3 linked regions of the Macaca fascicularis genome follow. The protein of the gene in region 1 interacts with the protein of each later gene in a pairwise test. Links are inferred from orthologs where the notes say so. Each region holds a gene or a part of one and is shown in the gene's direction. Other genes may lie near its edges. The genes, in order: RAB2B, GARIN6 and FAM114A1.

Evidence for each region.
Region 2: the proteins of RAB2B (region 1) and GARIN6 interact in binary tests that used the Homo sapiens proteins (3 or more experiments, as listed by UniProt). The two-hybrid records come from large-scale screens. The link is inferred for Macaca fascicularis from reciprocal best matches to the Homo sapiens genes RAB2B and GARIN6.
Region 3: the proteins of RAB2B (region 1) and FAM114A1 interact in binary tests that used the Homo sapiens proteins (3 or more experiments, as listed by UniProt). The two-hybrid records come from large-scale screens. The link is inferred for Macaca fascicularis from reciprocal best matches to the Homo sapiens genes RAB2B and FAM114A1.

The regions. Positions count from the first base shown.
Region 1 is NC_088381.1:89,150,356-89,154,414, reverse strand, and holds the start of RAB2B (ras-related protein Rab-2B), read left to right. Parts: upstream 1-1,259; 5' UTR 1,260-1,371; coding exon 1,372-1,417; intron 1,418-1,646; coding exon 1,647-1,718; intron 1,719-3,321; coding exon 3,322-3,389; intron 3,390-4,059. Other genes in the region: TOX4 (TOX high mobility group box family member 4), read right to left, coding at 688-756, 968-973. UniProt on the Homo sapiens protein: The small GTPases Rab are key regulators of intracellular membrane trafficking, from the formation of transport vesicles to their fusion with membranes. Rabs cycle between active GTP-bound and inactive GDP-bound states.
Region 2 is NC_088385.1:106,655,159-106,659,600, forward strand, and holds GARIN6 (Golgi-associated RAB2 interactor protein 6), read left to right. Parts: upstream 1-1,567; 5' UTR 1,568-1,984; coding exon 1,985-2,599; intron 2,600-3,098; coding exon 3,099-3,209; 3' UTR 3,210-3,858; downstream 3,859-4,442.
Region 3 is NC_088379.1:38,224,493-38,228,214, forward strand, and holds part of FAM114A1 (protein NOXP20), read left to right. Parts: intron 1-869; coding exon 870-1,031; intron 1,032-2,099; coding exon 2,100-2,239; intron 2,240-3,722. UniProt on the Homo sapiens protein: May play a role in neuronal cell development.

The DNA.
Region 1 (4,059 bases):
TTGAGACCAGCCTGGCCAATATGGTGAAACTATATCTCCACTAAAGATACAAAATTAGCCGGGCATGGTGGCACACGCCTGTAATCCCAGCTACTCGGGAGGCTGAGGCAGGAGAATCGCTTGAACCCGGGAGGCGGAGGTTGCAGTGAGCCGACATCGCACCACTGCACTCCAGCCTGGGCGACAAAGCGAGACTCTGTCTCAAAACAAAACAAAACCAGTAGGAAATATAAATGAAACAAATTTAAAAAGACCCCTTCAACAGAGTTCGTTACAGGAATGAACACATGCTGTTCCACGGTCAACCCTCTGCTAGGTAAGCTCCTCCCCTCACCCCAGTTTCTTCAGCTGCTGAAAAATTTTCTTCCCACTGCGATCCTTTAAGATTACTGTAGTTATTTCTCCCCAGAGAAAGGAGACAATTTCACTGTCTTCTAATCCAGAATCACTTTTCTCTTTAAATAGGTTATCTCTTTCCAATAGCTTGCTTTTCTGATGACAGCAACTTCCCAAGACTTCCCCAGATAGTCCCCATAGGCTCCAGAAGCAGCTGCCACTTTTCTCTAAACACCAATTGCAGCCCTTGGTTCCCAGCCCCCGTCCCTGGAGTGCGTGCTCTCCTCCCCACCACCCTACCCCACCGCGGCCTCAGGCCCTCCCCCCGCGGCGTCGGCAGCTCGTGCTCACCTCGGCCCCTGACAGGAAGGGGTGCGAAGGCCCTGTGATAGTCAGGTAATTGTCATTTCCTCCGGGAAACTGGAAACCAAAAGAAAGCCGCGGGGATAAGTTAGGGGGAGCAGGGAATTAGCTTGGAGCGATGGCTTCTGACCCCGACATTCTGACAACACTCCCCAAACCCCGCTCTCTCTCCTCTCCCGTCAGTCGCCTTTCCACCCGGCTTCCCGTCTCTGCTTCAACCCGGTCGGCCGCGTTCTCTCGCCAGCCTTCTTAGCTATCAGGTTCCTACCTCCATCTTCACACAACCGCTCCCACCGTCTCAGACCCTCATCGCTCCCACCGCCCCCACTGGTCTCGGAACTGCCGTCACTTCCGCAAGGACGTGCGTTACTCTCTGCTCATTGGAAGGAGCGCCGTGGGGGCTGCAGCGAGTCAGGCGCTGGCCTATCGCCCCCTGGAGCTTGGAGGGATAATGGCATGTAGAAGTACTAGAGGTGTCCCTGGAGGTGGCGTTGGGTACTCCCGACCTAAGGAGGATTTCTGGGGAGAGCAATAGAGACGTGATCTGGGCTAGAGGAGCCGGAGAGGGTGGGCGGCCGGGAAGAAGAAGATCGGTAGATTGAGTGGCTAGAGAGGTTGGAGGTAAGTGGCTGTAGAAGTCGGGCGGACCCGGAACCCAGAGGACGCGACATCATGACTTATGCTTATCTCTTCAAGTATATCATCATCGGAGACACAGGTAACCCTCAGGTTGTTCGCCTTCAAGGCTGGGGCGGACGTCCGAAGCTCCCAAATTGGGTGGCGGGGGCGGGGCTCACTTTGTGGGCTGGGCGATTCGAGACGGGCGGGGCGGTTCGGGGCGGCCAGGGGCGGGGCTCGGGGACCCCCCGCTTCTCTGGTCCGGGAAGTCCAGAGTCCGGGTAGTGTTCCAGCGCTACGTGACTCTGGGAGCGTGTTTTCTCTTTCAGGTGTGGGGAAGTCATGTCTCCTCCTGCAGTTTACAGATAAGCGGTTCCAGCCTGTCCACGACCTCACAATAGGTAAGTGCATCTACTTGTTCCAGAACAGATAAAACCTGACTAGCTAAATTGCTAAAGTGGAAAGTTAGCAGCCTTCAGTGTTCAAAGTAAAAAGTTATCCCTCACTACTTTAAACTAGTCCAAAGTTATGTTAATGAAGTGGTTAATCAAACGTTGATATGTGGCGAGTAGTGTAAGGGAGAGTATATAATTGAAAGGTAACTTTTTAGAGTGTGAGGTAGAGACTTGTCATATAATTTTTTTCAAGTACAATTTTTTATGTTTATGGAAAATCCCACGAAAGCATAACTGCTTATTTGTAAACTCATCTGTGCTTTGCAGTAAATTAATACCAGCCTTACTTTTAAAAAGTAAACACCAATACATGGACATTTTTTATATTGGTGAAGAAGCAAATTGAAGAGTCATCCCTGCCTTAGAATTAATAGGCAAATAAAACTAAAAACTTTCCTTTTAAATAAAACAGTGTGTTAAACAGTTCCTCATACCCACTGGGGATCCTGGAAAATATTAACATTTCCCACACATTTGTGATAAGGCATAGCCTGAAGGGGCTTTTAGCTACCCCCTCTTCATTATCTCCATAACCCCAGTCCAAATAAACAACATATATGAAACTAGCTTTGTTGCCATGCAAATGCAGTTTCTAAATAAAACTCCTACATCCCCATTCTTACAATATTGCTACTTCCAAGTCACACCTGTGTGGAAATCTGAAGCTACCACTGTTCTAACGGATTTATTTAGAGTCAAATAATTGATGGGGTTAGAAAAGGATTTAGAAGGCAGTATCAACCAAAAGGTATTTTAAAGGGAATATTGAGTGAATTCTTACTTTGTGATAGGGGCTAATGATACAATGCTTAACAAGGCAAGAATGCTTAATTGTTCCTCTGGCAATTATTGGAGATATAAAATGTATTGTTAAAAAAAAATTAGGTGGGCGTTGTGGCGTGCGCCTGTAAGGTACATACTGGGGAGGCTGAGGCAGGAGAATCACTTGAACTCGGGAGGTGGAGGCAGTAGTGAGCCGAGAACGCACCACTGCACTCCAGACTGGGTGACAAAGCAAGAGACTCCATCTCAAAAAAAAAAAAAAAAAAAGTATTGTTTCTGAGAACCTATTTCTTAGGCTCTTTTCTTAAAGAAAAAAATCTGGAATTACAAAAAAATAAATATTGTTTTAAATAGAGACTAGAGAGTGACCGAGAAAGTGTCAGGAAGCATTTCCAGAATTTTTAGGAGTTTTTTGGAAAAGTTACAAAACTAAATGTTACCTAATCAAATTTAAGCATTAACTGACATTGCTAAAAAATTACCCTTTTAAATTTGACTTCTTAATTGGTTTTGTTTTCCCATATGTGCTTTTTGGTTACATTCCTGAGGTCATTAGAGCACAATTTTTTAATTCCAGAAGGGAAATGAAGAACCTTGAGAAACACAAAGTTAATTGGAGCAAATAGGCAGCAATAATGGAATTAGTGGCATTGAGTTCAGACTAAAGGATGGGTATAACACATTGAGGAAAGGCAGGAACCTCCTCCCACTCCACATGGCTGCTGTTCATGAGAATCACATTCTTTCTCTTGGTCTTTACCAACAGGTGTGGAGTTTGGAGCTCGTATGGTCAACATTGATGGAAAACAAATCAAACTGCAAATCTGGGATACGGTGAGAGTACAAAATAATTTAGTCTCTGACCAACATCCAAGTATAGTAAGAAAAGCCAATGCAAAGGAAAGGGGCAATGAGGGTGGGACTAATAGTGGGGATAAAATAGGGGAAAGGTGAAATCAAAGAGATAGAGAAGCTTTTTTTTTTTTTTTTTTTTTTGAGACGGAGTCATGCTCTGTCGCCCAGGCTGGAGTGCAGTGGCCGGATCTCAGCTCACTGCAAGCTCCGCCTCCCGGGTTCACGCCATTCTCCTGCCTCAGCCTCCCAAGTAGCTGGGACTACAGGCGCCAGCCACTTCGCCCGGCTAGTTTTTTGTATTTTTTAGTAGAGACGGGGTTTCACCGTGTTAGCCAGGATGGTCTCGATCTCCTGACCTCGTGATCCGCCCGTCTCGGCCTCCCAAAGTGCTGGGATTACAGGCTTGAGCCACCGCGCCCGGCCGAGATAGAGAAGCTTTTAATTCTATCTGTTACAGTTACAAATTCTGGATGCTATATCTTTGTGTTGTAAACTGTCCAAGTAATATATTAGTTTAGTAAAAATAAAATCAAACTATAAATTTATAGCATGGAAAATAAATGTCTCCTTTTTATACATAAACGCTTTCTCCTTCCCCGTCTTGGTTGCTACTCTAGCAAGGGAATCATTACTGATGATTCCATGTGTA
Region 2 (4,442 bases), on another chromosome or scaffold:
CGGGCGAATCACGAGTTCAGGAGATCGAGACCATCCTGGCTAACACGGTGAAACCCCGTCTCTACTAAAATACAAAAAAAATTAGCCGGGCGAGGTGGCGGGCGCCTGTACTCCCAGCTACTCGGGAGGCTGAGGCAGGAGAATGGCGTGAACCCGGGAGGCGGGGCTTGCAGTGAGCTGAGATCCGGCCACTGCACTCCAGCCTGGGCAACAGAGCCAGACTCCGTCTCAAAAAAAAAAAAAAAAAAAAAAAAAGACCAGCCTGGGCAATATGGTAAAACCCAATATGGTAAAACCCTGTCTCTACTAAAAATACAAATTAGCCTGGCATGGTGGCATGTGCCTGTAGTCCCAGTTACTCAGAAGGTTGAGGCAGGAGAATCACTTGAACCCAGGAGGCAGAGATTGCAGTGAGCCAAGATCTCGCCACTAACTCTAGTCTGGGTGGCAGAGTAAGACTCCATCTCAAAAAAAAAAAAAGACTCAACTATGGCTATGGCTGTGTGTGTGTATATGTGTGTGTGTGTGTGTGTGTGTGTGTGTATGTTCATATGGGTTATTATGTGGATTGTTTTCAATAAAGATATTATAATCTTATTAAATTGATAATATTTATAATACCTGGCAAAATTCTTTAGAGCTTTTTTTTTCAATACAATCTGATGGTAAAGAATAGAGCATAAATGTGATGTTTAAGGCTCTTTTCACTCCATAGCCAGGGTACAAATGTCTAGGTAAAAGCTTAAAAATTGCATCAACAGTTTGAGGGTGAGTCAAAACATAAAATTTATCATGGCTGTAGAAACAGAAAAAAAAAATTGCTAATAAAATAGCTTTTTACCTGGTAACAGAAATAAACTTCCCAATAAAAATAGAAATTATAAAGAAAATGAAAGTTACACCTAAGAACTTTAAACATTTCACTGAACATAATTCCATACCCACAAACACATACACATGGTCTTACATAAATTGAATCTCACCTATACTATGAGTTTGAAATCAGTTTTTCTCTTTTTCTTTAAGAAAAAAAAAAAGGTTAGGGATATCTTTTCATGTCAATAAATAGGAAAACCACATAATCATTTTTAGGGCTGTAGACTGTCCCATCACAGAAGGCTCCATAATTTATTTAAGCAATCCCCTATTGTAAGACACTAATGCTGTTTACAATTTTTTACTCTACAATAAACATTGATAAACATCCTGTACTAACGTGTTTACCAATGTATTCAATTCTCTCTTTAAAATAAATGTCTACGACTAGAGGAGCTGGATAAAAGAGTTGACAGAGAATGTATATTAAAGTCTTGCTTCTCACAGAAAATTTACCTCTAATCTTTTTGAAAGCAAATTGCCAGAATGCATTAAGGTCCCCAGATGGGTGGAGGGTCGGGGAGAGTGGTCTGCTGAGCTGTGGAGAGTGGTGGGGCTGAGGGTGGGGTGGAGAGGGTGGTGTCCCTGCCCTGAGGTAGGGGCTGTTGGGTGACAGAAACAAAGGGGTGTGTGATGGGGCAGGTCACAATGGGTAGAGGAGGATAAAAGTGGTCCTGCAGGGTGGTTTAGCAGCAGCGGATGGTTCAGGTTGGGAAGAAGAGCAGTGGGACTGCCAGTTCAGGTTGTGGAATCAAAGAGCAAAGGTTGTTGTGAAGTGGAATATCAGGCTCAAATGGAAGTCCCTCCCAAATGAGCACTGACATCTGTGTGCCTGGATATCCACGAGGGCTCCAACATCTGCGCTCCTGACAGCTCCATGCACTAAACAGGGCACAGTCTGGATCCAGGGGACCAACTGTCTCTGGCATTGAGCAGTTGGCAATCAATACCCCACCCTGTTCTGAGTCATTTGGGGACAAAAAAGAAAGCCTGTAGAACACAACTGCTGGCCCACCTGCCAGAGTGGCCAAGGAAACAGGATGCTCACTAAGGCATGTTAAGGAAGGTGTGGAGCAGCTGCTGGGAACTGTCTTGATAAAAGAAAGACATGGAGGAGCAGTGTATGTTACCGTATTACACTGCCCAAAGCAGCCCCGCAATGGGCATGTTTAATACCTCCATGGGGAAGCTTCAGCGGCAACTGTACAAAGGCGAGTATACTATATTCAGGTATGCACCCATGTTTGAGAGCGACTTTATCCAGATCAGCAAAAGAGGAGAAGTGATGGATGTGCACAACCGTGCCCGAATGGTAACAGTGGGCATTGTTCGCACCAGCCCCTGCCTCACACTACCTGATGTCATGCTGCTGGCCCGACCAGCTGCTGTCTGTGACAACGCCAGGTGTGGTCCTGCCACCCAGAAAACAGATAGTCCGCCTGCAGAGATCTTAGAACTAACCAGACTGCTTCCCTTGATGTTTGTGAAAATAACCATCCACAACAGCATAAAAAAACAGCTCCACCTGAAGCTTGCCACTGGCCGCTCTTTTTATCTTCAGCTGTGTCCCCCCTCAGATGCAAGTGAAGACCTTTTTGTTCACTGGGAAAACCTTGTTTACATCCTGAGACCACCAGTGGAGGCTTACAGTGGTACCAAAGCTATCCTAGCTGGGAGCACATCAGACTCATCTGTGTTTGAGGAAGTGCAGAGAAGCCCAGTGGTGAGTCTATGCAGAGACTAGATGGGGCCAGGATGCTTTTGGGGAGAGCAGGTAAAGGTCCTGTAGAGCCTTTGGTGTTGCAGCTCACCTGGGAAATGCATTGCATTTGGAAGGTCTGAAGGCCAAATGAGCTTCCATTTGGAGGCCATGGCACATTGAGGAGGTTCCTAGTGCTTCTCCAGTGTTCCCCAAACCTGAATTTCAGAGATTTCTTAGCTGTCAGCAACTTTTCATTTTATATTCACAGCTGTTCATTCTATATCCAATGTTGTAATGCTATCCAAAACATCCTGACCAGTCTATTCTGAAACCCATACTATGACCTAGGTAGGCTGATATGTTGTAGGACATGTCTCCCTGCGATTGCCACTTATATACATTGGTGGCAACACAACATGCTTGTGTACATGTGCAATACTTTATTTTTGTTGTTTACCTATAGGAAGAGAAAGGAGATCTTGCTGGTCTCACTTTCTTTGCTTATTTGTTTTCTCCCTAGGGATATGCCATGAAGTTCTGTGAAGAGAAGGAGCAATTCAGAATCAGCAGACTTCACATGAATGCTGAAATGTTTGGGTCCACCTATTATGATTATACAATAGAGATATGAATCCAACATACCTCCCACATATACTACATTCAAGAGTTCACACATTCCTGCAGTCATAAAACCTATAGTGCCTGATAAAGGGGCAGGTTAGCAACAACAGTAGTGATGACAGTAAGCACCACCGCAGGTGCCATGGATGTGGCTGCAACCAAGTCTGCAGGCTCAGAAGAGAAACACAGCACTGGCAAAAGCAGCCTTCAAAGGTCCAGGAGGAAGTATAGCCAGCATGGCTATCGTGGGTGCTTCTATGTCTTAATCTTGTTATAGCAAGGGCTGCATAGACATTCTTGTCCTAAAAGAGTACTTCAAGTACATCAGTAAGTGCTACTGGCCTCTCCCTAGAGAGCAGCATGAATGTGGTGACTACAGGAGCAGAGAGAGACTGTCAATGCAACAGCCTTGTCAGTCTCTCTCTGCTCCTCAAAGACTGACTCTCTGCCACTCAGCATTGGGAGTCAGTATCTCAACTCTGCAGGATGAGGCCACATGAGTGAATGGGATGGAAGTCAGAGGGTCTCTACCTAGCTGGATTGACTCTGCAGTAATAACCTCAAAGTCTGGTACTACACATGGTGCAGAGGTGGACATCTCACCTAAGACTGTGGAGGGGAGGAACATGATTCACCATAATAAAATCCATCAACTCATATTATCTGCTCTAATAACATATGCTCTATTGACAGGAAGGGTAGCAATAAAACTAATAGCAATTTATGATCAGGCTCTGAAAACTATCTTTAACTTTCCCTTAACTTTACATTTTTTATTATAAAAGATAAATAGATGACATAAAATTAATAGATGACAGAATAAAATGTTGAAGATTACTCTCAAAGATATGATCCTACATCAGAAGAATTCTTCTAAAACTATTTTCCAAAATATAAAATGAGAACCCAGAAACACACACACACTCTGTCTCCCTCTCTCTTTCTCTCTCTTGCTCCCGGTTTGAATCATAGCATTGCCACACATTAACTGTGACCTTTAGTAGACTGTTTCTTTAAATGGTCACCTTGAGATTATACATGTATAATATCTGGTACATAGTAGGCACTGTGTAAATGGTGGTGTTGAGAAACAAATTCTGAGTTTAATCATACTTTCCAGAAAGGGCTTAATTTTCCCAGTCTTTTCACTCTTGATTTCCTTTCTTAAATCTTAATTAACTGCTTTGCAATTGTCCCATAAAAGCTCTATTTACAGTAAATCTTCTTAGTATCTTCCCAAGAA
Region 3 (3,722 bases), on another chromosome or scaffold:
CCGTGCAGCACCTGCCACCGCTCAGAGGGGGCATGTGGTGGCTCTGAGATTCCACTGGCTTATTTGCTTAGGTTTAAGTCTTTGTCTCTAATAGGGGACACACTAAGGCCAGTTTTGTTGGGTTTTCTCTCCCCAGATCTTCTTGCTGTTAACTTACCATTCAACACTCTGATATTTTTAACTTTGGCGTGTAAGATTTAAGGTGGGAAGTAGGTTTAGTCTAAGCCCCAAAACAACTTTTACTTAAGCAAACAGCTTAAACTATAATGATAAAATTGGAGTGAGTCTGCCCTTTCGTTCTAAATTCAGGGAATAACAGGTAGGGGAGGAGGTTTCTGATTAATTGAACCATGATTTTGTAGGGCACAGAGTGCGTAAACTGCACTCGTGTGAAATTAGACACAGAGCAGCACCAGACCTTTCCAGCAGCCCTTCTCTTCTCCCCCTTGAGGGTGGAAGACCTGTCATGAATCAAGAAACGCAGAGCCTTTCTAACATATATTTTTAAAAGTACTATTATTCTTTTATAGATGGTCATGAAAAGTGAAAAATATACTATAGATTTTTCAATGTGACTGTCATTTTTATTCTTATCTGAATATCATTTTTAAATGCTTTTTAAAGAGTCCTCAGGCCTGCATTGTTCTTTCCATACTTTCTGTTCTGTCCCTTTTTTCTACTTTATATTTGCCAGAAAGCAACAACAAGGTTATCTTTTTAGGGGGTTGAGAAATTGCCCCGTCATCCTCCAAACATACGGAGATCCATTCCTGAAGGCTTAGAGACACTTGATTCTTGTCTTGGGGTTGGAATGACTTAGGTTCCATATTTGCACCATAAAAGGGTTGTTTGGTTGGGGACCTTTGCAGGCCATGAAGAAGGCTCATGACTGGGTGGAAGAGGATCAGACCGTGGTGTCAGTAGATGTGGCAAAAGAGTCCGAGGAGGAAACAAAGAAGAAAGAAAAGGAAGAGAAACCTCAAGACCCTCAAGAAGACAAAAAGGAGGAAAAGAGAACTAAGACCATAGAGGTAAATTTATTCTAGAGTGTCCACCTACAAGGTAATAAGAGTGTGTTCATTTTATTAGCAGCTTAATTTTAATTGAAGAGAGGCCATTTGTTTTTCATTTGTTCCATATTGTAGAAATATAAGTAGGAATGCAATAAACACTGAAATTTCTCTATGCCAAGATAATTCATGGTTTAACACAGATTTTGTCACTTTTCTCCATAGCTTTACAATTATAATTTAAAGGGACAAAAATCTTTAGGAACATAGTTGATTTATCTTTAGAGTAGAATTTCATCTTATATGCAAATGTGTTACTATAAAATGTCTTTATGCCCTGTAACTAATGAGGTAATTGAAGCCTTTAAAAAAATTCATTGCCATAGCTTTTATTCTGTAATTTAATAAATTTATGTGTGCATAATTTATTTCCTGCCTATGTTCAATAAAGGAGTTTGTAGTAACTTCATCTTACATTGAGTTTTAATTTTGAAGAAAGTAACTTTTTGGCTGAGTGCGGTCACTCGAGCCTGTAATCCCAGCACTTTGGGAGGCCAAGGCAGGTGGATCACCTGAGGTCAGGAGTTCAAGACCAGCCTGGACAACATGGTGAAACCCCGTCTGTACTAAATATACAAAATACTAAAAATAATTAGCAGGACATGGTGGTGTGTGCCTCTACTCTCAGCTACTTGGGAGAGTGAGTTATCAGAATCACTTAAACCCGGGAGGTAGAGGTTGCAGTGATTAGATCACTGTAAAGAAAAATATCCATTGAGCTCTGTTCATTCAGCCAGCCTTCCACACACCGTCTTTAGCACCTGCCTGTTTTGTACCCAGCATTGCTGTAAGCCCTGGGGATGCAGCTGTGAACAGACTTGCCACATCCCTGGGGGCCCTGACGGCACCTCCATTTTCTGGCAGCATTACACTTAAAGTCTTAGATATGCTCGTAGTCTTCAGGTTAACAATTTCATGTTATGTTTGTGGTATTTTTGAAAGAATTATATCACTTCTAATGTCACAGCATTTTTTAAAAAAAAACATCTGCTCAGTAAAAAATTTCTTCCTTGTGTTTATCTATTTCAGGAAGTATACATGTTGTCCATTGAAAGTCTGGCAGAGGTAACAGCGCGCTGTATTGAGCAGCTTCATAAAGTAGCAGAATTAATTCTTCATGGACAAGAAGAGGAAAAACCAGCTCAGGACCAAGCAAAAGTTCTAATAAAGTAAATAAATGTTACTTTAAATTATTATTTTCCCAGTTCTATATATAGGTACCGTTCAGAAACACACATACACACCCACACCCTCTAAGCCACTAAAAGGTTCAGATTTCTTTTTGTTTGCTTTTGTTTTTTGTTTTGTTGAGATGGGATCTTGCTCTATCACCCAGGCTGGAGTGCAATGGCATGATCATGATTCACTGCAGCCCCAAACTCTTGGGCTCACGCCACCCTCCCGCCTCAGCCTTCCCAGGAATTGGGACCACAGGTGCACACCACCACATCCAGCTAATTTTTTAATTAATTACAGAGACAAAGCCTAGCCGTGTTGCCCAGGCTGGTCTCGAACTCCTGAGCTCAAGCAATCTTCCTGGCTCAGCCTCCTAAAGTTCTATGATTACAGGCATGAGCAACCATACCTGACCAAATATTCAAATTTCAAGTGAACCAATTCCATTGTTCTATGGTCATCTTAAGAAATAAGGATTTCTTTTTTTTTTTTTTTTTTTTTTTTTTTTTGAGACAGAGTCTTGCTCTGTCACCAGGTTGGAGTGCAGTGCCACAATCTCAACTCTCTGCAACCTCAGCATCCCAGGTTCAAGCGATCTTCTGCCTCAGCCTCCTGAGTAGCTGGGATTCCAGGCGCACACCACCACACCCAGCTCATTTTTGTATTTTTAGTAGAGATGGGTTTTCACCATGTTGGCCAGGATGGTCTCCATCTCTTGACCTCATGATCTGCCCGCCTCAGCTTCCCAAAGTGCTGGGATTACAGGCATGAGCCACCATGCCCAGCCGGAAATAAGGATTTATTTAACAAATGCATTATGTTAGCAAGAAGAAGAAGACTTAACTAGCCATCCTAGGAATTATTTATGAAGAGATTTAAGGGAAAACACACTAAATCATTCAGAGGCATGAAAGTGCTTATTTAATAGATCAGAGTCTTAGAAGTAAAACCTTTTGAGGGTAATTACTTTTCCAACATATATATGAATAGAGAAAGGACACTTTAATGTAACTTCTAGCTAGAGTCACAAAATAGGCAAATATACTCCACTGATCCTGGGGACTTATACCAGCTCTCCATGTTCCGAACTCTGGTGATGATGGTCGCTAATATTAACCAGTTCACTTTTGGGTGGTATGTGTGCACATATGTGTTGTCCTGTATCATGTTCTTCAATAAATAATAGCTATTGTCATTAGTTTATTAAGTAAAATGCAAATATATATATATACGTAACACATGTGAATATGCAATCTAGTGAATATACATGAAAATAGTTGATATGGAGTATTCATGAAAATAGTTGGTATGGAGCTGAAAAATAAGCCTTTACCTTTTATGCACATGACTGTATACTGTGATATGGAAAATTAACGTAGGCCTAAGTACCCTCATGTTATTAGACAGACACAGGAGCCAAAATAGAGCCCCTGAAAATACTCAGGGATGGACACACACAGGTCTCAGCACACTCAG